3 linked regions of the Cricetulus griseus genome follow. The protein of the gene in region 1 interacts with the protein of each later gene in a biochemical or structural test. Links are inferred from orthologs where the notes say so. Each region holds a gene or a part of one and is shown in the gene's direction. Other genes may lie near its edges.

Region 1 (7,596 bases):
CTCCTGACCCCTCTTAGTCCCCCATCTCTATCTGGGGCTACTTCCCCTGTGTGGGACAGCAGGACACCAGCTTATTTCCATAAATAAGAGCCCTGGGCTGAGCTGGGCTGGGCTAGGCTGGGGAAGGACAGTCTTAGAAAGTATTCCCTGGCCACCCTGGGGGTCTTCCCACTCTCACAGCCATTGCTGCTGGGGCCTGGAACTGAGAGGCCCTTGGGAAGTGCTAGAAATTGCCCTGCTGTTTCTCCTGAGCCCATCACCATGGTATCAGCCAGGGAGGAGCTGGGCCCAAAGAGACATTGGTCCCCCAGCCACCCAGCGGACCTCCCTCAAGGGGGAGCATGGAGCGGCCTTGGGCCTGCTCCCCAGAGACTGCACTAGGACTAAGGTATCGACTTTCCTCGGCTTTCCAGGTGGCCCATGTGTGGGTGGTGACTATTGAATTCCGTGGTCCCCATCTTCTCCCTGGCCTACAAAGGGCGGGAGGAGATGTTGGCCTGGCTTCTTAGGGTGGGTTTGAACCCTGGGGCAGAGAGTCAAGGGGCAGCCCTCTGAAGAAGGGAGAAGGCTCCTTGAGGAGGGTTTGGAAGCAATGCTCCTGGACCTCTCTGGAAAGCTGAAAGGGAGGCTCAGTCCAGCATCATTCAGGTCCATTGACACCCTCTGCCACCATTGCCTGGGGCTTTTGCCTCTGTCTCCAGTCTCCTGAGCCTGTCCTGTATTTTACTTTGGAAGTTTATGTGGAGGCTGTATCTAGCCTCTGGGCCCATGTTCCCATGAAGGTGCTCCCCCTCCCCCCTGCACCCCGTCCCATGCTATTGCTTCTACTGGAGTTGGCACAAGTCGTAAGGCTGTTTAAGGTAGAGGGGGCACGCACACCAAGCCCAAGATTGTGTGGAGTTTTTCCCCCCTCTATCTCTTTTCCCAGAGGCACAATCCAAGCTCTGGTACCTTGCCCCTCCCCCATCTCTACTTGACTTGAGGCCTGGGAACCAGGGGCCTGCCCCCAGGGGACTCTTCTAAGCTCCACCCAAGCTGGGACGGGCTGACTCAGCAGCTGCATTGACAGTTCATGGGGACAGGAAGGGAATAGGCTTGTTTCTCTGAAAGTTTCAAACACCCCTCCCTCCCCCACTTGTGAAGGAAGAGACCTAAAACGGTAGTTCTCAACTTTCCCAATGCTGGGACCCTTTAATACAGTTCCTGGTATTGTGGTGACCCCAGTCATAAAACTATTTTCGATGGTACTTTATAACTATAATTTTGCTACAGTAAATCATCATGAAAATATCTGACATGCAAGATATCTGATGTATGACCCCTGTGAAAGGGTCGTTCGACCCCCAAAGGGGTCCTGACACACAGGTTGAGAACCACTGCTCTAGAGAGACTTCTGAAAGGGACCCATTAGCATGGAAGGGTCTGTGAGTGCTTCATAGACCGGGCTTTCTAGAATACCAGTCACCTACGCTACCACCCACAGACCCCTGGATCAACCACAGAGCCACCCAGAGGGCAATAGAGTAGAGGATGTCTTATCCCCTTAGGCAGGATCCTCTAAGTCTTCCTGGTCCTCATGCTGCCAGAAGGATGCAAAGTGGACCTTTGAACTCTGATGACATGTCACTAGAAAGGGGATGCTGAGGTGCGGTAGGGAAACCCCAAAGCACAGACTTGGAACTGGAAGGTGGGCATCACAGAGACACCTAGCCCAGCCCTGCCCAGTACTAGGGAGCCACCCCTCCTGAACCCTCAGCCTGGCTCTAGCCACAGTGCCAGCCCGGGCATGCTCACAGCCTCGTCACCTAGGCCAGGCTTTATCCTTCCACTCAGGTTGGGGCTCTGGCTGCAAGAGGCGTGGAGCTCCCGGAAGGAAGCCTGTGGTTTCATTAGCTCCCAGACACCTGGTCAGTGTGAGAAGCGCCCCCACCATCTGCCTATCACTAGGCTTCACTCCAGGCTGCCTAGTTCTGGACTCAACGCTTAAGGGCAAGCCCGATGTTGTGGTGGGAGGAAAGCAAGTCTCTAGTCAGACTGAGTGGGCTTTAACCTTTCTGTGTTGTAATTTCCCTGTCTCAAAAACAGCTAACCAGCTTCAGCCAGGCTGCTGTGGGAAGTCTGGGGAAAGGGAATCCTGGGGGGGGCGGGGGGAGTGGAAGGCAAGCTGGGATTCCACACACTGAGGGCCAGAGGAGGTGTGTGGCTAAGGTAGAAAGCTGAGCCCGTCTGTCCTGGTGGCAGCAACTCGTCAGACCTGTTCAGCTCACCTAGGCAGCCTGGGGGAGGGCCTGTGGCAGCTTTGTGCGGGGATTAGCTGCAAGGAAGAGACTCCTCACTCCCGGAACTACATGGTTCTGGAGGTGGGGGTGGGCTCCTGGAGGGGCTAGGTCACAGCAGGTGAAGGGCTGGATAGGCTGAGGGAAGGAGGGGCCTCCTGTGGTACCCTCTTTTTGCTACTCATTTGGTTGTCTTTGCTGTTTGAGGTGAGGGGTCTCTGGGATCTGGGTAAGTAACCACTATGGAAAATCCCGACTGTCACCTTCTGTCTTCTGGACTCTTTACATTCCTCACCAACATCCTGAACACAGGTACACAAAGCCTGCCCAAGCATTTTTTTTTTTTTTTACATCTTTAAAATTTACTGTGTGAACATATGTATTATGTTGTGTGGGGTGGGAGTGCCATGGTCATAGGACAACCTGTGGGAGTCACTTCTCTCTTTCCACCCTGTGGGTCTTGGAGAGCAAACTCGGGCTGAGCTTGGCAGCAAGTACCTTACCCCAACCAGCAATCTCTTCTTTGGGATGGCAATGCTGGTAAGGTGAGGCTGGAGGCCCCAAAGCTTTCCCTTTACTCCTCCCTCCTCTTCCCCTCCCTTGCCTTTTGTACCCCCAGCTGAGGATTTGGGTTTCAGAGCAATCTAGCCACTACCCTCCCCAACCCAGTAGTATCTCAGAGTTACATGCTTGTTCCTTAGTAGCAAGAACAATGGCAAAGTCCTGGTATGCTTGGGGACTTAGTGAGAACAATGGCAACATCCAGGTCTGGGCAGGCACTGGGAAGTTCAAAGTGTGGCTTTATACTGTGTCATTGGGCCTCAGCAGCAACCCAGAGAAGCAGGTAGCAATAAACACCTCTAGAAAGGAAGACCCTGAGACCCAGAAATGGAAATGATTCGCCCCAAGTCACAAGCTAGTAGGAGCACTTTGTTGCCCCATAGGGTAGGTGGCAACTAGGGTTCCAGCCAGTGGAGAACAGGCTTGCCCCAGGCTTGGAGTTGGGGTCAGGGTGGAGCTCGGGTAGGGCTTGCAGAGCCTCCAGCTTCTGTAGGCTCGTGTCCAGTGTCTGTCCATCTGTCAGCCTGTGTCATGAAAGCATCAAGACTGTAGCTTCAGAGCTGAGCTGCCCAAAGAGGACGGAAGATATTGAAATTGTCCCAGCTAATGCCAGGGTGCACAAAAGACACTAGCTTATGTCTTTCAGGGGAAAGAGGGGTGGCGGTGAGATGGCTCAGTGGGTCAAGGCACTTGCCACCAAGTCTGATGACCTGACTCCCAATTGTGAAAGGAGAGAACCAACTCTCACAAGTTGCCCTTTAACCCCGTTTGTGGGCTATGTCATACTCATGCTCTCTCTCACACACACTAAATAAATAAATACTGTTAAAAGGAAGAGGCCAGGCGGTGGTGGTGCACCCAGGAGGCAGAGGCAGGCAGATCTCAGAGTTTGAGACCAGCCTGGTCTACAGAGTTACACAGAGAAACCCTGTCTCCAAAACAAAACAAAACAAAAAATCAACAACCCAAAAAGTAACAGGCCCTGCTTTCCAGGCCACGGTCTGACCACATTGGCCCAGCCCTCTTTCATGGTCTCCTCCCCATATGAATCCTTGGGGGATTAGACACACACACACACACACACACACACACACACACACACACACACACACACCTCTGTTGCTCCCTATATCCTTGGCTGGATCTAGAGCTAAAAGTCCCATCTACCCCAGGACTCTTCCCCCAGCCACCTGCTGGGTTTCAGGTTATCAGGGTCACATTTGGCTGGGCCATTTGGCTCACTGGAGTCGAGGAGGGAGCCCACTAGAGATGAAAACCTTTACTGTAAACAAACTGGCCAGCTTTCAGTAAACAGCTATCCATGCTCTCACAACAGAGAACAGATACAGGGGCCAGGTGCCCACTCATGAGTCTCAGGTGCCCAGCCAGGCCTAGGAGGACCAGATGAGCCGTGGGTGGAAAAGGATAAGACCAAACACATGAGTAGTAGAATCCAGGAGGGAACCTAGCCCAGGCAAGACGGTGGCTCACCCAGAGCCAGTCGGCTTACTTCAGTGCTAAGTGTCTATTCATATCTGAACCCTGGGCCAGATTCTCTTGCCTTGCTCTGTGGGCTCCAATCACCACTGGAGGAGAGTGGAGTTGGAGAAGGTGGTATTGGGACATTGTGGAATGACATGGCTGCTTCCTACATCCCCACAGCGTGAGCTCCGGCCTCGGCTCTGCACCATGAAGAAAGGCCCCAATGGCTATGGCTTCAACCTGCACAGCGACAAGTCTAAGCCAGGCCAGTTCATCCGAGCAGTGGACCCAGATTCCCCCGCAGAGGCCTCTGGACTCCGAGCCCAAGACCGCATTGTGGAGGTGATACCCTGTACAACATTCTCTGTACTCTCCCAGGCTCTTCCTTCCTGATCTTTGCTGCTTGGGGGCAGCCTCGTACCGTCTGTGGTTTGATTAACCCATGGGATGTGGGCAGTGCAGACAGAGGTGCTGGACGGTGGGCAGCTGCACAGGTAGAGTAGAGGCACAGAAAGGATAGGTGCTAAGTGGTAAATGGGACTAGACAGGCTTAATGGTTCTGCTTTACCAAATGCACACTCTACACCCAGGATTTATCTGCCAAAATCCAGGTAGATGCCAGAGGCCACCAGCACGGCCTTCCTGATGCCTGAGCACTCTGGGCCAGGCACAAGGATGGACCCAACACCCTCTCCTGAGTTCAGCTTTGAGACACTGTTCTTCGGCTGTGCTCACGACAGAGGAAATGTGAACTAAATGCTTGGGCTGGTCCCAGAATCACAGTGTGAGAACCTTAGAGCCACAGATCAGCTCTTCCAAGACTTCTCACTTTACACGTGAGAAAACCAAGGCCCAGAGAGGGAGGTCAGAGGAGAGCCCAGCCCGGGCTCCCAGGCCTCCCCTTGCTCACAGCTGTGTTTGCATAGTCTCCTCTGGGTATTTTCTTTGGCGCTTCCCATTTGTCTTGCTTCCCAACTGACTGTCAGAGAACTGCTGGCTGGCTGGGTTCGGGACTAGGCACATGTGGGGATTCAGCATTCCCGGGTGGGACCTCTTCCACCTGCCCTCCCCAGCACTGAGACCTGTGTGGGTGACCCCCGTCCCTGCCCTGCCTCACAGGTCAATGGTGTCTGCATGGAGGGCAAGCAGCATGGGGACGTGGTATCTGCCATCAAGGCTGGAGGGGATGAGGCCAAGCTGCTGGTGGTAGACAAGGAGACTGATGAGTTCTTCAAGAAGTGCAAAGTGATCCCGTCACAGGAACACCTGGATGGTGAGTGCACAGCTGGGTGTGTGGCCAAGTGCCTAAGACTTGGCCAGAAATGGGGGGTAGCTTCTCGGATTGTAAGGAGAGACCCAATAGCACAGGTTGGAGGAGAGTAGAAGCTGGGATGGGCCATGAGCGTCTAAAGGTGGCAGCTGATGGTAATTAACCACAATTAACATGAAGGAGGGATGAGATTCAGTACCAAGCACGGCCTGGGCCTCTCCCTAGTCCAGTGAGTTCTCAGACTGACGGTCCCTCTGAGAGGAAAGAGTTAACTCTGGAGCAGCCTCCAGCCTTTGCTGGGCAGATCAGAGTCCAGTGACAGGGGCCCAGTGCTCCCCTCCCCCTTTGTCAAGTTGCCTTGGAAACTCAGGCTTGCTGGCTCTGGAGAGTAGTGGGTCCCCTTCAGTCCCTGGGCCCCTGCCCTCTCCCCCTCCCCCACTCTCATCTTGCCAAGCCTGGCACCTCTTCCTGTTCAAGCCAAGCCAAAGTGAGTAGGGCCACCACACCACACCACACAGCAGGAGGGGCTGAGCACCCCTACTCCTTAGTCCAGACTTTCTGCCTGGGAAGATGGCTCTGGAAGTGTGCTCTGTTGTGCTATGCCGAAAGTGAAACCTGTCTGGACTTTGCAATGGGTTCACATAGCTCAGATCTCCGAGGCGGATGCAGTGTGGAGGATTCACGGGTCTCAGAACCTAATATACAGAGGCACCACACCATCTTCACTAGTCTCTGGAGGTGGACCAGCCTTCCCCCAAGCCGAAAGCCGGGGGCTGACTTTCTCTCTCACTGGCCTCTCCTGACTCTGCTCAGGACATTGCCTTTGCACCTCCTTGTCCCCTCATTTCCAGATGCCAGACAGTTGCCATTATTGTCTTTCCAAGGCAGCAGGTGCCAGCTATATAATCTGAGGTGTGGCCCTAAATCTGCCTTCAGCCCCTGAGAGGTGTGAATACCAAGGCCCAGCCCTGCCCTAGGGTGGATGTGGGTGGAGGTCAGTTCTCTCTTCTACCATCTGGGTCCTGGAGATCCAACTCAGGTAATCAGGTCACCACTGAGCCATCTCTCTGGCCACACACAGGTGATCTGTTTTTTGACTGGCTACCCTAGAACTCCATCCCATCTTAGCGCTCCTGCAAGCCTGGCATCTTGGCATTCTGGGTCAGATGTCAAGCTAGGCCCAGAAAGGTAGCTCAGTGGTAGAGCACTAATTAGTATACGGAGGGCTGTGTGTTTGGCCCCCAGCACTGCACCAAGTATTACTGTTAAAGGGAGCTGTCTTGTCTATCACAAGTTGCCAGTCAGCATCAAGTAGCCCTCCTCAAGTGTGATCCTCCTATGCACACACCCAAAAAAGTTCCTCCAGTTTGCCAAATGAGACATTGTAAGAGTAAGTTGTAGTTGAAAATACCAAAGTATGGCACTGTAGTGGGGTCTTGTTTTCTGAAATTGTCAAACAATCTTTCTGGGCACTGGGTCATCAAAATGTCAAATTACATACAGTAGGTTTCAGCCAAAAACACTGTGGCCTTTGACCTCCAGTATGAGGTCTGGTGAGCTGCCCAGGGCATAGCTCTGGCCTCCTCTGCTCTCCTTCCCCAAAGTCTTTAGACTGACCTTTGCTGTCTCCCTCATCTAGGCCCCTTGCCTGAGCCCTTCACCAATGGAGAGATACAGAAGGTAAGGGGGTCCTCTACCCACTTCTCAATGGGGACAGGGAGAGTGGCAGCATGGTTGGGAGTCTGGCTCAGGCTGACACATCAGGGTCCAGTTCCAGTTTCTTCCTGAGCTCCAATCCATAGGACTGCCAGGGTACCCCAGCCCGTCAGGGGTAAGGCTATCACTTGGGAAAGGCTTGCCTGGGGCCCCTCGGCAGCCCCCGCCTCCAACTCCCACCATACAGAAGAGGCCATTCTTCCCCCCAAGAACAGAGCCTCAGTGTCTGGCTGTTGGTCCTGCTACTTCCAGTCTGAGTTGGAAGAACAAAGTCCCTCCCCTTGGGCAGAA
Region 2 (8,142 bases), on another chromosome or scaffold:
GCCTTTTATACAGTTTCCAGAGAAAAATTGATGACTATGGGTAAATTCTGGGTTTTGATGCAGATACTACCCTACTCTATATTAGTCATCTACCAGGATCCTTTCCTCCAAAAGCTTAACAATAGCTATCTTCAGATTTCTCCTTTAGGATGTCATTTCATCTGTTAGGTCAGGAACTACAAGATAAAATGATTGATTGGTTGTCCTTGCTGCATTACTTATAAGAAATGAGTTAAAATGAAACATGGTACATAGAAGAAGAGTTCTATGTATATATGAAATGTGTGCGTGTGGGTGTATATATGTGTTGCGTGTGTGTATGTTTGTGTGTATACTTGTGTGAGTGTTTGTAAACAGATTTGTTGGACAAATGTAATTTTAGAAGCAGAAAAGATGATCATCTGGCCTGTGTACAAGGGTACCTTATAGCCTAAAAACAGCTTTGTAAGACTTCCAAGACTGCAGTATGTATTTGTATGGTGAGTGATCCTTGTGGCAAGTCAGGGAAGAGCTGTGACCGCCCCTACTTTCTGCCTTGGGTAAGTGTAGGCATCCTATGTATGTGAAGCTGATGAGAGGTCTGCTTTCTCTCTTTTGGGATCTTGTCCTTCTATGAAAAGATATTTTTCCCATTGTTTTTATCTAAATTAGAAACAAGATTGTTTTACATGTCAATCCCAGTTCCCTCTCCCTCCCCTCCTCCCCTGTCCCCCCAGCTAAAACCCTACCTATCACATCCCCTTTCTGCTCCCCAGGTAGGGTGAAGCCTTCCATAGGGGGGTCTTCAGAGTCTGTCATATCTTTTGGGATAGGGACTAGGCCCACCCCTGTGTGTCTAGGCTCAGGGAGTATCTCTTTATGTGGAAGGGGCTCCCAAAGTCCATTCCTATGCTAGGGATAAGTACTGATCTACTACAAGAGGCCCCATAGATTTGCAAGGTCTCCTTACTGACACCCATGATCATAGGGTATGGAACAGTCCTATGCTGGTTTCCCAGCTATCAGTCTGGGGTCCATGAGCTCCGCCTTGTTCAGGTCAGCTGTTTCTGTGGGTTTCACCAGCCTGGTCTGGACCCCTTTGCTCATCACTCCTCCTTCTCTGCAACTGGATTCCAGTTCAGTTCAGTGATTAGTTGTGGGTGTTGTAGTTGGATTTTTCTGACGCATTTTCACATTTTTATCAGGTATGTACATAGATACAAATTTTGGATGTTATATCTCAATTACTTGGACATGTCTATTTTGTTGAAATCTTCTGCCCAAACAAGTTTGGGATGTGATGTTTTAAGATAAGATCTAGGGTTTTCTATGCTCATGTGTATACATACACTCTTAGACTGGATTGTAATGTTTACAGAACATTTATCAAAGGTAGGTAACTCTAGTGGCTTCTTGTGAGGAGAAAGACAGTGGTGGTGACAGAATGTGAATACATACATGATGGGAGATTTGTTTAGAAGTATGCTTCAAACTGATGGGACTAAATGTTTGGGATCCCATCTGAGTTTGAATCCACTAATATAGACATTCATTCAATTGGATGCTTCATCACCTAGAAATGGCAAAATATGTATAATAACATGTATGCACTTGGCTGTTAAATGACCCCTGGACAATGCAAGAACTCATTCATTACCTTTTCCCTGGTCCTTTTAAGGGAAAGCAGCTTGAGATCTCCTCAAGTTGTATAGCTTGGTCAGCTTTGATGATCTTTGAAATTTAATTCTTTATTTAGAGTCACATGTTGGTGAGAACAAAGAGGAACTGATAATAAATTAATTTCAGATTCTGTAAATCACATTTGATGGGTCACACTAGTAGTTATAAACTATGGAATGAGGGTGGGGAAAGGATAGAATGACTTCAGTTGCATAGCTGGGAAAAGTCAATATGAGTACTGAATTTCAATTTTTATCATAAAAGAGAGGAAAACATAAATACAGTACTTGAAAATACTGAGTTAGAATATACTGAAGCTTTCCCCTAGTGTCTGTCTGTACGAACTTTGATTTATTTTTTTGCTATTCTTTTTGTAATCAAATTCAGGATACTAAAAATTAAATGTCTTTATAATGGTTTTAAAGTAAGGAAAAAGGATAATGTAGATATGGGAAGTAAAGCTTGCAAAGCCTCTTGGCGATGATTATTTCAAGTGCATTTTTGTCTCAGCAGTATTATGAAATACATATTTTATTTGTGTTGTAGTTGGATGTCCACAAGTCAAAAATCAGATAATTCACAAGTAAACACTCCCAGTGTTTAGATGCTGAGGCAAAAATCAGGCCAGAACATTTTAATTTTTGATTTTGTTTCTTTAAAAATCTCAGACTCTAACCTTGGAACACTCAGCCCTAAATGGGATATCCATCAGATCCCTCCCCTGAGGCCTCAGGAAACCCTGCAGAAGAGGAGGCAGAAAGAGTGTAAGAGCCAGAGGGGAAGGAGGACACCATGAAAACAAAGTGCTCTAAATCAACATGAGCAAAACTCATATGAACTCACAGAGACTGAGGCAGCTTGCACAGGGCCTGCATGGTCTCACCAGGTTCTCTGCATGTAGATTAATTATGGCTTTTAGACTAGTGCATCCCTGGGCGTGTTTCTTGCGCCTTCCTTCTCTTGGGTTCTTTTCTGTTTGTTTTTGTCCAATTCCAATGTATTAATTTTTGTTTTATTATATTTTATTACTATTCCTTGGAAGCATGGTTGTTTTCTAATAAGAGACAGAAATGGAGTGGATCCAGAGAGAAGGGCATGTGGAGAGAAAGTAGGAGTAGTAGATGGAGGGAAAACAGTAATCAGGATATAATGTCTGGGGGTAAAAAAAAAAAAAAAAAACTATTTTCTTGTCTTTTTTTGTTTTGTTTTTGTTTTTGTTTGTTTGGTTTTGGGTTTCTTGAGCCATGATTGTCCTGGAACTTGCTCTGAGACCAGGCTGACCTCGAACTCAGAGATCAGTGCCGCCACTGCTTGGCTAAAAAGAAAATTCTATTTTTAATAAAAGGAAAAATAATTCAAACTCTATTTTACTTGCTTTGGCTAAATAGGGTTCAGGTATTTAAGTGTTGGCCCTTTAAAACCCACCACATTTTCATGTTGGACACAAAATTCTCACACCAAAAGCTTGGAAGGGGAAGGCACATAGCCTGGAAAACTCTCAAAGCCCCCAGAGAGCTAAAGACATAGGCATTTCTCTCAGTGAGCTCTTGGTGAATAGGATACCTTTGCTTCAGTGACTTTGGGTTCCTGTCAGATATTTTGCTTAGCAGACAAGGAAATCTAAAGGACAGTCATTTAGTTTAGACAGTCCACTTGTCATTTCTGTAGCACACACACATAAAAGCCTTCAGAAACACAAAACACTACAACACACACTGAACACATCCTGAGTGGGAAATAGGTAAAGCAATAGCTCCCTTTGTCCTCAAGGACTTTGTCTATAATTATGGCACATCGGAGGCATTGTGATACATGTGTCTGACACACATGCCTCCTAGGGGAAGCAGTTGCTCCCCATTCCTTGGTAGGGCTTTTGCTGTAATTATGACATATCAAGGAATTGTGACATATGCCTATGACATTCATGTACCTCATAGATGTCTGTGACTCTATGGCTACCCTAGAGACTTCAGTCAACAGAGCTAGGTCTTGTCCAGCTCTTGAAGGGCTTGCTGAGGTGGGACACCTCGGACTACTGTGGGACTTTGCACCTTTCTGCATCTGTACTTTGATTCCGAGGAGCCACGTTTTCATCTCCTCTTCAAAATGAATCTTGAAAAGTTAACTGTAACTCGGCCAAAAGCTACAGAGACAGGAGGAAGAGGGAGAGAAGGAAAAGGAGGAAAAAGAGGAGAAGATGAAGGTAGCAGAGGAGGGGGAAGAGAAGAAGGAAAAAGAGAAGAAAAAGAAAGAGATAAAGGAGGAAGAGAAGAAAGAGATGGAGGAGAAAGTGAAGAAGGAGGAGAGAGAGAAATAGAAGACTGGGAAGAGGGAGAAGAAAGGCTCATGGAAGCCAAGGAGGTCAGTCAGTGGTCCTTGGTCACACATAAGAAGCATATTAGCTCCCGCAGATTGGCCTTGGTTTCCCCGGACCTGGTGCCTGAGCCGTCACTGATATTGCTGCTGCCAGAAGGTAGGGATGTGGGGGGGGCGCTGGAGGGCGCGGGGAGTGAGCGCCAGGAGAAGGAGGCGCGGGCGGCATGCAAGGCGCGCAGGAGGAAGGAGCGCACGGGGCGGGCTTGGGGCGTGGAGAGCAGGGACTGGGGCTGGGCTAGGCAGTGCTGGCTTTTAACCTGGGCTACGGAGGCGGGGGAGGAAGGCAGAGAGAAGGGGAGGCGTGTGGGACCCAGTTGGTTAGGGGGGAATTGGAAGCAAATGACATCACCGCAGGTCCGACAAAAGGGGAATCGCTAAAAACATTGACTGGGTCCTGGATATTCAGAGGTCGAGTCCAACCTGAACGTGTCCAGACACAGACCTCAGTGCACCACGGAGACATCATGCAGAAGTCGCCTTTGGAGAAAGCCAGCTTTATCTCCAAACTCTTTTTCAGGTGAGAGGGTGCCAGGGGATCTTTGCAGGTGTGCCCATGCCAAAGAAGGGAATGCATATGGGCAGTCTTTGGGAAAACAGGAAGAGATTTTTTTGTTGTTTTCGTTTTGTTTTTAAAGGTGTGTTGTCATTCATTGTTTTAAAGGAAATGTGGATTTTATAGAATAAATTGAAGCTGATTAGATGGAGAACAAAATGTACTTGCAACTGAGAATCAGACTTGCAACACCTAAATATTTGCAGGGCAACAGTTTTCTTAATTTTTTTTCCTGAAAAATTTGTAAGATTTTCTTAATTAAAAATCCTTAAGGTTGGTTCATTGTTTTTCCCCAGGAAGCTTGTCTGCAGGTGTCATACCTGTATGTAGTAGGTGTTCAGAAAACATTTGCTGACTGAATTTTTTTGAGGAAGTATATAGTACTTTTTGCTATTGTAATATTAAGTCTGACATGCTCACCAAAAAGTAATGTAACCATAGTTACATTACTTTTTAAGAATGTGAGCAAGTCAGTTAAAATATTTATCTTTAAGCAGCAGAAATATCAAAAGCAAAGAATTTAGGAAAGCAGTAACCATGGGATATGAAGCTGGGGTTCTAGCTACTGAAGCTATATCCAACTGACACTTGGGACATTGTTCTCTTATCCTGCATTGCACAGCATGAGCCAAAACCTCAATAGAAAAGGATTTTAAAATTAGATTTTAAGTTGGGAGACCTAGGCAAGACTAATTAAGCACTTTGTATTTGACATGCTCTATGGCGCGGCTATTCTGTTCCTCTAGTGTGGATGAACGAAAAGAACAGCTCTCTCATGGGAGCTCACTTGACTCACAGCTCCTCAGGGAATCTAAACTTTAGCAAACTAAAGGACCAGAGTGTTGCATAGATTGTAAATGTGCCCTGTGGTGTGGGCAGGAGGCAAAGCTCAGCTTTCAGTCTTCTTGCCTTTGCCGCCGCCGGTGGGTCTAGAGCTCAGGACTAAGAGGACAAGTGCCTCTGTGGGAGAGCTCCTCCCAGTGGATGGGAGACAAGGTCTTTACCCTTTGGAGTTACCTTTGGTATTCACAGTGCTTTTGTTACTTCATCCATAAATTCAGCTTATCAGCCGGGATCTATTTTCCTACTACTCACAGCAACAGAGTGTTAATTGTCATAAACTGCACACTTTTATGAGATCATTTTGAGGAACCTACATGTCAGTGCCTCACGTTCTCATGAGAATGTCTCTTGTGTATTTTCCCCACTAAAGTATTAAGAAACTTAGATTGTTCATTTATCAGTGTTTCAAAAATCTCCCCTCTTATTATACAGCTCATTTATTTTAGTGTACCTTCCAAATGCTCTTAGGTTGATTTGGAAAGGAAAAATATTATAATGGCTGTGAAATTTGTTAAGCACATACTCATTTCTGTCCTTCAAACGATTTCATAATCAGTTGCTTTAAGAATAGGTGTGTTTTTAAGAGTTAAGTTCTTACTATTTATAGGCTCTGACATTCAGCTACAGTACCAGTCAGTGATTAGAAACTTCTTTCTGAACTATCCTTTTCAAAGATGAAAACCCTTTTTTTCCCATTGGACTAGGCATTTCTGCCTAGTGTCGAGGACAGTGGGCTCTGGGTTCCTATTGCCTGGTTTCAGGATTGCTTAATGGGCAAGTCCTTTCACATTTCTGTGTGACCTGACTTTTAAAACTTAGAGGCTGTCAATGTGCATATGACATAGTGGGTTAATCTGCTGAGTAGTTATGTCCTGGGCTTACTGAGGAAATGCTAGCTGCTATGGTTATTTTCTACATTTTATGTAAGACAATGAGTTTATTTCTGTTGGTTATAATTTTTGACTATCAACCTTTTTTTATGTGATGTGTATGTGTATTATATATTTGAGAAATTAATGTAAGGGATAGTCTCATCTAATATGGACTTACTAGATATTTAGGGGAAATCCATATGCTCAGATCTCCATAGATGCCTTAGAGTTTGAGTTTCTGAGTACTATCCCATCAGTTTTAGGGTATAAAAGACTAAAAAAACCTGAAGGCCATGTTTCCAATATTAGGGTCTGGGTTATGAATTATATTAAGTATCAGTTTAATTATCTAGGTTATATCACTAAAACCAAAACAAGCTTAATAAAAATATATTTTTGCAAGTGTTTACAGGAAGGAAAAGTTTGGAAGTCATTGGAAGTATTCTAACACAGAAGACAATTTTACCATGAAAATTTCAAGTATTTTGTGACTTTCACGGAAAATAGTACATTAACTAGAAGATGTTATAAATTTATGAAAAAAGTTGTTTTAAAACAAGTGGTGATATATTTGCATAGAATTTATGATTCATATATTAGTGTGATTAATTTATAAAAATCTTTGATTTTGAGAAATATTTAAACCTTACATTTTCATACAACTGTAGTAAAAAGATCATGCCTGATGTGTGCCTGGTAGAGTGTGTGTTTGTGTGTGTGTGTGTGTGTGTGTGTGTGTGTGTGTGTGTGTGTGTGTGTGTATGTGTAGACCAGAGGGTAATATAAGGTATCATCCTCTGAAAGCCCATCATGTCCTTTGAAACAGGTCTCATTGACCTGAATTTTTCCAATTATGTTTGACATGCTTGCCAGCAAACCCAGGAGTCTTCCTGCCTCTGCTTTCCCAGCACTGGGATTATCAGCCTGTGCTACATCACCTACCTATTTACATGGGTGCTTGGGTTTTTACTCAGGTCTTCATGCTTGTGAGGGAAATTACTGACTGAGCTATGAACAGTTACAAAAAATTGGGTAGTAGCATGTCCATTCTGTTTCTGATCCACAGACATTATCTTATGTTTGTCTGTTGGGCAAGACTTAGGGTATGCAAATCCAAAGGCCAGTTTTGATGGACTGAAGGTACAGTCCTGGTATTTAAGAAACCTAGTATAGTTGAATTCTACGTGTCCTTTAGTTAGTTGATGGATGCTATCCAGGGGCTATAGTTCCAGGTTTCCATGCTATCCTTTGGCTTTTTTTTTCCCAGTAGGAATTAGATGAAGCTGCATCTAGGATGGGGACTCTCTGGACACTGCACAAACACTGCCCAATGTTGGCTCTGTACCAGACCCTCAGAACTCTCTTCTGTTTATTTGCCTTTTGCTGATCATGTTTTGATACTACACAGCTCAGAGTTTTCAACTTGGGATAATATGTTAGTTTCATGTCAGTTTCATAGTTCTAAGAGTACCTCTTGTGCATGATATAATGAAAGTTGTCATTGTACATATATAATAAATATCTTGATATCGTTAAACTTATTTTAGTTGATGTCACAATTATTAAAATTTTATCAATGGTTTTACAGCCCATACCACACAATACACTTTTAATATTCAAGCCCCTGCTACTCAGAGCAGAGGAAGCTATTATTTTAAAAATAACTTCATCAACATGTTGTTTGATGTAAGTAACAATGAAATACCCCTTGATGCACACTTAATAATGATACACAGGGGAAATTGAGGCTTTTGGTTTTCTCTATGGAAGTTGGGCTTACTGTGTTAATACTCAATTCATAAATGTTGAAACTTGTTTAAGAGGTTCACGAGTGAATAC
Region 3 (7,341 bases), on another chromosome or scaffold:
AAGGACGGCCTTAGAAAAGAGAGGAGTGATTGTCCTGAGTGGCCTCTAGGGGGCAGACGTAAGAGTCATGGGCATAAATAGAAAGAAAACAGATTTTAGTTCAAAATCTGAACTGTGTGGAAAATACAACAAGCTGGTGGGTTTTTCCAAGACTTGAGAGAAAACACTGTGTAAGAAGTTAAGATGCTTCACCCCAAGCCATTACCACCCACATCATGCTAGACAGCTCAAATACTAGCAATTATAATTTTCAGGTTCATTCTTCTCCCTGGAAATTTTGTTCCTTTTCTCAAAGGAATGGCGTTTGCTTAATCTCATTGTAACTCAAATTAAAAATAAATTTCATGCTACTCATGTTCTAAGGGTCCTTTCACACATGTGAAATAATGAGACAAACATGCATTCTATATCTACCTTTTAATGCAATAAAAGATAAGACAATAGGAATAACCATCTTTTGAAGGTAGTACACTCAGTATTTACATGTATTTCATTTCATTTAATATAAATTTGGTTAGATAACCCTGTCTAGAGATATTAGTAAAAGGTAGACATGTTAAACAAAGGAATTCCACAGATGTTTCTCTGTCCAAGAATTGAAAAGATGGAAGAATTTTTGTCAGAGCCAAAACAGGGAGGAGGTTCCTTGGCTGTCCAATGGTTGGTGTGAGGGCATTCTCTGGCAACACAGAGCCCTGCTTCTGTTCAAACACTCATTAGATAAATCAAACTGTGGCTTCTATTCCTGTTTGGCAGGCAGGAAATGACAAATCAGTGTCTTAAGGGATTGACAAAATATGTAATTAGACACTATCAATCACTATAAAAGAGCTCGACTTTTCTTACATCAGATAAAGGTGGCTTAGTCTACTGTTGTATGACTTAGCTCTGTAAGGTCTCAAGCTCCATGAAAGCAGTTGTAACAATCCCATTCACTGCAGAATGAAATCAAAGTTGTTGGGTCTGGAAAACAAGTGCAGCCAGGAGGGCAGAGCTGGACCCTTAACTTCCCTAACACCTTGAACAGGACACTCCCCCACTTCTTCACTTCAGGCTCCTCTTTTTTTGCAAACTAAAGGAAATAGACTAAATGATCTGCTAAACTCTTTCCTATTTTAATTGTGTCCAGACTTAGAATTCTAAAAGGAGGTCTAAGAAATGATAACATTCTGAAATTCCTACCACAGGAGGAAAGAGTATGTCTACCTGTCAAAACTGCTGGGACCTCCTTTTTGCCAAATGTTATTTCCTCTTCTTGATTTAATATGTGTAAGGTTTTTAAAAGATGTTTCCCAAATTATTTAGTTAAAGTCTGGGGCAACTTAAAGTGTATACCAAATAAAATATTGGTCAGTGTTTTTCCTAAAAAGGGTTTGCCTTATTCTTTTTTTTGTTGTTAGAGGTAGATTAAACTGCATGCTTATTTACTCCATACCCTCGCACAAACAGGAAGTAGGTTTTAAATGTTTTAGTTCCACATTCAGGGTAGATGTGTATTTAAAGGAAGGTTGTTGCATAACACAAAGCCTCATCCTAAAATGCATCAAACCAGAGCCAATTTTGGAAAACACAAATATGAGGTGGGTGTATTTTTAAAACTATGTGAACATAATAAATCTTTAATTGATATTTGTGGGCTTATGGAAAATATTTTGAGACACTTGTCAAAAAAAAGTGTGTGCTGCTGAAGAAGTTTCATTTCTAAGCCCCATTTCTGAAGTAAACACTGCACCATCCTTTTTCATAAAGTGTTTTATAGTTCTGCTGGAGGAAACTAGTAATATGTTCTAAAGGATTAAGTAAATGATATAAAGTACACTAGCAAGCTCACATTGGTCTGATATTTATCTATGTAACAGCCCTTTCATAGTTTCTATTGAATTTGATTCTCACTCATTCCAATGAAAATGACTTTATCACACTATCACACATTATCATTCTACACACACACACACACACACACACACACACACACACACACACACTTACACGTGCACCCCCTTAGAGATTGAAGGAATTTGGTTCCTTCATTGTGGTTTGACTAAGGAAAACAAAAGTTAAAGTTCCAAGGTGCACCTGAAACACACGTGCTCCAATCCCAGTTGTAGGTTTCTTCTAGACGACCCCCCCTCATTTTTCTTCATGGAATAACATAATACCTTAGAAAGATTGAAAAACTGGATGCTAGAATCAGACAGATTCAGGTTCAGATTCATCTTCTGGTACTGCCTGGCCAGTATCCACTGGCAAGCTATTTGCCCCATTGAGCCCCACTGGAGAACTGAGCTAAAAATACCCCCATGGGACTATGGGAGGGATTAAATGCAATAATGCACAAAAGGGGCATAGCAGAATGTTCCCTAAATGTCAGCTATTGTTATGTTATTATGTAATCTACAAAGTATGTTTGGTTATGCGGTGTGAAAGACTTGCAGTTTGTCAAAGATAACACATGTGAAATCAAACGCAAAAAATTATTTGTTTTCCCAATAGTCAAAATCATTTTCCAGATGAGGATAGTATTTCATGAATCTAGGTCTTTGTCTGATTTTTTTTAAAGGGGGGAAACAACTATCATTTACTTTCTGTAGTTTTAAAATGGTCTCCAGAGAGCATGTTTTTAATATAATGTTATATGAAATTATGGGTTTTTTTTAAAACAATAGTAGCAAGTCCAACAGTAGCAAGTTCACATGACACAGCTTAAAAGATTAACAAATTATCCAGCCAACACATGAAATGATATTTTTATAGTTTCAATGGAGTAATTGAAGAAATTCTTTGAAATGAAAATTATCTGGACTGGAGAGGTGCCTCGGTGGTTAAGAGAACATTAAGTGCTCTTCCAGAGGACCAGGGTTCAATCTCAGCACCCACATGTCAGCTTATGAGCTGGTACATTTCTGTATCTCCAGTCCTATGGAATCTGATGCTCTCTCCTGACCTTCAAAATAAGCACAAATACAATGAAAAGACATACCTAGAGATAAAACTCCCATATGTGTAAAATAAATGAATTTAACTTAACTTTTAAAAATGTAAAAGGAAAATATTACATTTTCATTTTCAATGCATCCTCATATAACAAGAAAATGATGCCACACTCCCAAGAATTAAAAATAAAATAAAACCACCTAACTCTCCCCTAAATGTGTAAATACTTGAACTCCTAATGAAAGACAAAGGGTAAATTACTGCCTCGATGCCTGCAAGGTCTCAAGGGGGGAGGATGCCAAAACATATTTTTCAAAAAGTGTGCAGAGAAACTGTAGCTATTGAAGTCACCTCCTGTGCTCTTGCCAAATAACTGTAAGGGAATATACTGAGAGTCTGGGAATGGGAAAAGAGGGTGTCATTTATAAGTGCTTCAGGAGGATGCTACCTGGATGTGGACATGGGTGTCTGAATGGTCCGCACACCACATCTCCACATGAGCTCTTGTGTACATTTCTTTCTGCATGTTTCTAGGTATTCCTGTGTTTGTTTTTAGCCACCTTTCTGCATTGGACCAGGAGACAGCTGTCGTCTCCAGCGTGAGTGGGCGCGGGTGTGTCTCGGTGTCTGTGGCTGTGGTGCGGCATAAGTCTGAGCATGTCCACGTCGGCCGAGTGCGTTTGTGCCTGTGTATGCGTGTCCGAGTGTGCTTGTTCAGTCTCTCTTCTCTGTTCCTAAAGGAAAATGCGCTGTGTGCCACCTGCATCCAGAGACCTCAGCCCGCAGAGGTGACCTGCACGGACAGGTAGAAGAACTTCCAGACTGCGCTTGGTTGGTGGATCGTACAGCAGCTCCAGATTTCTGTCTCTGAGGCCCCACTAGGGTAGCTGGGAGGGAGTGGTGGCTTGGCCTCCGGGGAGCACTGGGGCCCCGCCCGGACCAACCCCAGGAGGAGGCGGGCTAGGCAGGGAGGGTTGGCCCTTGGTGCCTCGCCCCTCCGGGCATGCGACCGTACCATTGGCCCAAAGTTGTTGCACGTCACCAAGCAATTCCCCTAAAGTCCGGTGCACATAACGGGCAGGGAGCATTGCGAGACTGCTTCTCCAGCGTTCAGGCTGCAGCTAGCAGGCACCGCGAACCCAGAGCACCCCACGAGCTGAGTGTGCAGAACGCGCCCCCAGCACAGCCACCTACAGCCGCTGAATGAAGCTTCCAGGAGTCCGTCCCCGGCAGGCTGTGCCCCGTCGGAGGTGCACCCGCTGAGAGCGCCAGGGCGCCCAAAGCCAGTGCACTCACCTGCTAGTCTGCCAGCGATGGGGCCACCCGGGAACGACAGTGACTTCTTGCTGACACCCAACGGAAGCCATACGCCGGACCACGACATCACTCAGGAACGGGACGAAGCGTGGGTGGTAGGCATGGCCATCCTCATGTCGGTTATCGTCCTGGCCATCGTGTTTGGCAACGTGCTGGTCATCACAGCCATTGCCAAGTTCGAGAGACTACAGACCGTCACCAACTACTTCATAACCTCCTTGGCGTGTGCTGATCTAGTCATGGGCCTAGCGGTGGTGCCGTTTGGGGCCAGTCACATCCTTATGAAAATGTGGAATTTTGGCAACTTCTGGTGTGAGTTCTGGACTTCCATTGATGTGTTATGCGTCACAGCCAGCATTGAGACCCTGTGTGTGATAGCAGTGGATCGCTACATTGCTATCACATCGCCATTCAAGTACCAGAGCCTGCTGACCAAGAATAAGGCCCGAATGGTCATCCTAATGGTGTGGATTGTATCCGGCCTTACCTCCTTCTTGCCCATCCAGATGCACTGGTACCGTGCCACCCACAAGAAAGCCATCACCTGCTATCTCAAGGAGACTTGCTGTGACTTCTTCACGAACCAGGCCTATGCCATTGCTTCCTCCATTGTGTCTTTCTACGTGCCTCTAGTGGTCATGGTCTTTGTCTATTCCAGGGTCTTCCAGGTGGCCAAAAGGCAACTCCAGAAGATAGACAAATCTGAGGGAAGATTCCATTCCCAAAACCTCAGCCAGGTGGAGCAGGATGGGCGGAGTGGGCACGGACTCCGAAGGTCCTCCAAGTTCTGCTTGAAGGAGCACAAAGCCCTCAAGACTTTAGGCATCATCATGGGCACATTCACCCTCTGCTGGCTGCCCTTCTTCATTGTCAACATCGTGCATGTCATCCAGGAAAACCTCATCCCTAAGGAAGTTTACATCCTCCTTAACTGGTTGGGCTATGTCAATTCTGCTTTCAATCCCCTGATCTACTGTCGGAGTCCAGACTTCAGGATTGCCTTCCAGGAGCTTTTATGCCTCCGCAGGTCTTCTGCGAAAGCCTATGGGAATGGCTACTCCACCAACAGTAATGGCAAAACAGACTACATGGGGGAGGCAAGTGAATGTCAGTTGGGGCAGGAAAAAGAAAGTGAACTGCTGTGTGAGGACACCCCAGGCACGGAAAGCTTTGCGAACTGTCAAGGTACTGTGTCTAGCCTTAGCCTTGATTCCCAAGGGAGGAACTGTAGTACAAATGACTCACCACTGTAATGCAGGCTTTCTGCTTTTTAAGACCCCTCCCTGACAGGACACTAACCAGACTATTTAACTTGAGTGTAATAACTTTAGAATAAAATTGTATAGAGATTTGCAGAAGGGGAACATCCTTCTGCCCTTTTTTATTTTATTTTTTTAAGCTGCAAAAACAAGAGAGGGGGAGAAGCTGTATTTGAGTGCTTATTTGTTTCTTGTGCAGTTCAGTTCCTCTTTGCACGGAACTTAAAAGTTTCTGTCTGAAGCGTGTTGGTCCTAGAGGACTGTCTGTACGTTTAGATGATTTTTCCATGCATCTACCTCATTGGTCAAGTGTTAGGGTATACTATTATTGCTGCTAGTAATTTGTATCAGAAGGAAGTTTTCCTTCCTGTACCCTTGGACTTGACAATCCTGTGTCTTGGACCTTTCTGCTGTGAATATATACTCTCCCCCGCTCCACTTATTTGCTCAAATGGAGTGTTGTAGGCAGTGATCTGAGGGACAGCTTCAGCTGTTTTTTTCTGAGCAAAGTCTAAAGTTTACAGTAAATAAATTGTTTGACCATGATTTCATTGCACCTGTTTCTCCAAAACCTCTTGACTCTGGAGTGTCCTTGTCTTTCCCACTGGAAACCACAGGTAACTATGTGTCATAACTGCTGTGTGTCTTGATGTGGAAGGGTACCAGAATGGTATGCATTGATTGCCTAGCCCTCCCATGTGCCTTTGGATTTCCAAATGCAAACCTGTGTCTTTCCTAATTTTACTTGTGCCCCAAATCAGTTCTGCCTGCTCTCAGCATAACCCAGTGTGTCCTACAGTTGCTATTCTGTGCTGTCACCTCGGAAACCCTGACTCAGAGAGAGAGAGAGAGAGAGAGAGAGAGAGAGAGAGAGAGAGAGAGAGAGAGGAGAGAGTGTGTGTTCTGGGCATACGTTCTGTCCCACATGCTCCTGCTACCTACCTTCCAGCCCTTGTTTAAAAACTGTGTGGATTTATATCACTGGCATCTTTTACAGTAGTGCCCTTTGTACTGCAGCAGGGCTTGGTGTATTCAGGATGAGGAAGATGTTCTGTGTAAAGCTATTCAGGAATCTCAGAATTCCAAGGGAAATCAGAGACCTTGGTCATAGAGTGCAAAGCTTTCAAAGATAGCTGGTGAATAGTTCATACCCTGAACACGGGTTCAGCCTCTCCCTTCTTCCGCTTTCCTGGTCTCCTCTCCCCTGATTCTCTGCACTTCTTTGTAAATCAGGCTTTCTCATGCCTGGCATTCCCATGCATTATAGGATATTTAGCAGCAGACCTGCACCCAATTAATTCCAGTGGCACCCCTCAAGTTTATAAATCATAGACCAAAATAACCTCAGCCATGACCTATTACCCCTCAGGACAAAGTAGTCCTTTGCAGAAAGCCTGTTGTAGACTTTGAAAATATAAATTAGCTGGGTTTTGCTATTTACTACAAATGCTGTGTTTTTGACACCTAGGAGAAGGGAGAAGGTTTTTGGGTTTTGTTTTGTTTTTTTGTCCCCAGTTCACTCAGTTTTGACAGTCCCTCGGCCCCTCTTCTTTCTTCTTCATCATGCTGCCTTCTAAACTTGTGTTCCAGCTGTCCAGGTAGTTGCCACAAGTTAAGGTTTGAGTTATTTTGGAGGGTTTATCAGTAGAGGTGAGGCCCACAGGCCCTCACTGCCTGTTTGCAGAGAGATTATAATACTGTTAAGAGGCACAGAGGGAAATCACAAAAGTAAACACATTACTTCTCGCAGCCTCATTCTATTTTTGCCTGTGTGTTGGAGCCAGAGCATGGCCCAGGTTTCATGGAGTGGATCGTCCTCCCTGGCAACACC

The links. The genes of interacting proteins can lie anywhere in the genome.
Region 2: the proteins of Slc9a3r1 (region 1) and Cftr form a complex in vitro, tested with the Homo sapiens proteins (9 studies listed by BioGRID and IntAct, with this or other methods). The link is inferred for Cricetulus griseus from reciprocal best matches to the Homo sapiens genes NHERF1 and CFTR.
Region 3: the proteins of Slc9a3r1 (region 1) and Adrb2 form a complex in vitro, tested with the Homo sapiens proteins (3 studies listed by BioGRID and IntAct, with this or other methods). The link is inferred for Cricetulus griseus from reciprocal best matches to the Homo sapiens genes NHERF1 and ADRB2.

What each region holds. Positions count from the first base shown.
Region 1 is NC_048600.1:127,781,020-127,788,615, forward strand, and holds part of Slc9a3r1 (Na(+)/H(+) exchange regulatory cofactor NHE-RF1), read left to right. Parts: intron 1-4,499; coding exon 4,500-4,661; intron 4,662-5,438; coding exon 5,439-5,592; intron 5,593-7,228; coding exon 7,229-7,269; intron 7,270-7,596. UniProt on the Homo sapiens protein: Scaffold protein that connects plasma membrane proteins with members of the ezrin/moesin/radixin family and thereby helps to link them to the actin cytoskeleton and to regulate their surface expression. Necessary for recycling of internalized ADRB2.
Region 2 is NW_023276806.1:208,422,111-208,430,252, reverse strand, and holds the start of Cftr (cystic fibrosis transmembrane conductance regulator), read left to right. Parts: upstream 1-4,005; coding exon 4,006-4,348; intron 4,349-4,443; coding exon 4,444-4,552; intron 4,553-8,142. UniProt on the Homo sapiens protein: Epithelial ion channel that plays an important role in the regulation of epithelial ion and water transport and fluid homeostasis. Mediates the transport of chloride ions across the cell membrane.
Region 3 is NC_048595.1:176,925,233-176,932,573, forward strand, and holds Adrb2 (beta-2 adrenergic receptor), read left to right. Parts: upstream 1-4,247; coding exon 4,248-5,504; downstream 5,505-7,341. UniProt on the Homo sapiens protein: Beta-adrenergic receptors mediate the catecholamine-induced activation of adenylate cyclase through the action of G proteins. The beta-2-adrenergic receptor binds epinephrine with an approximately 30-fold greater affinity than it does norepinephrine.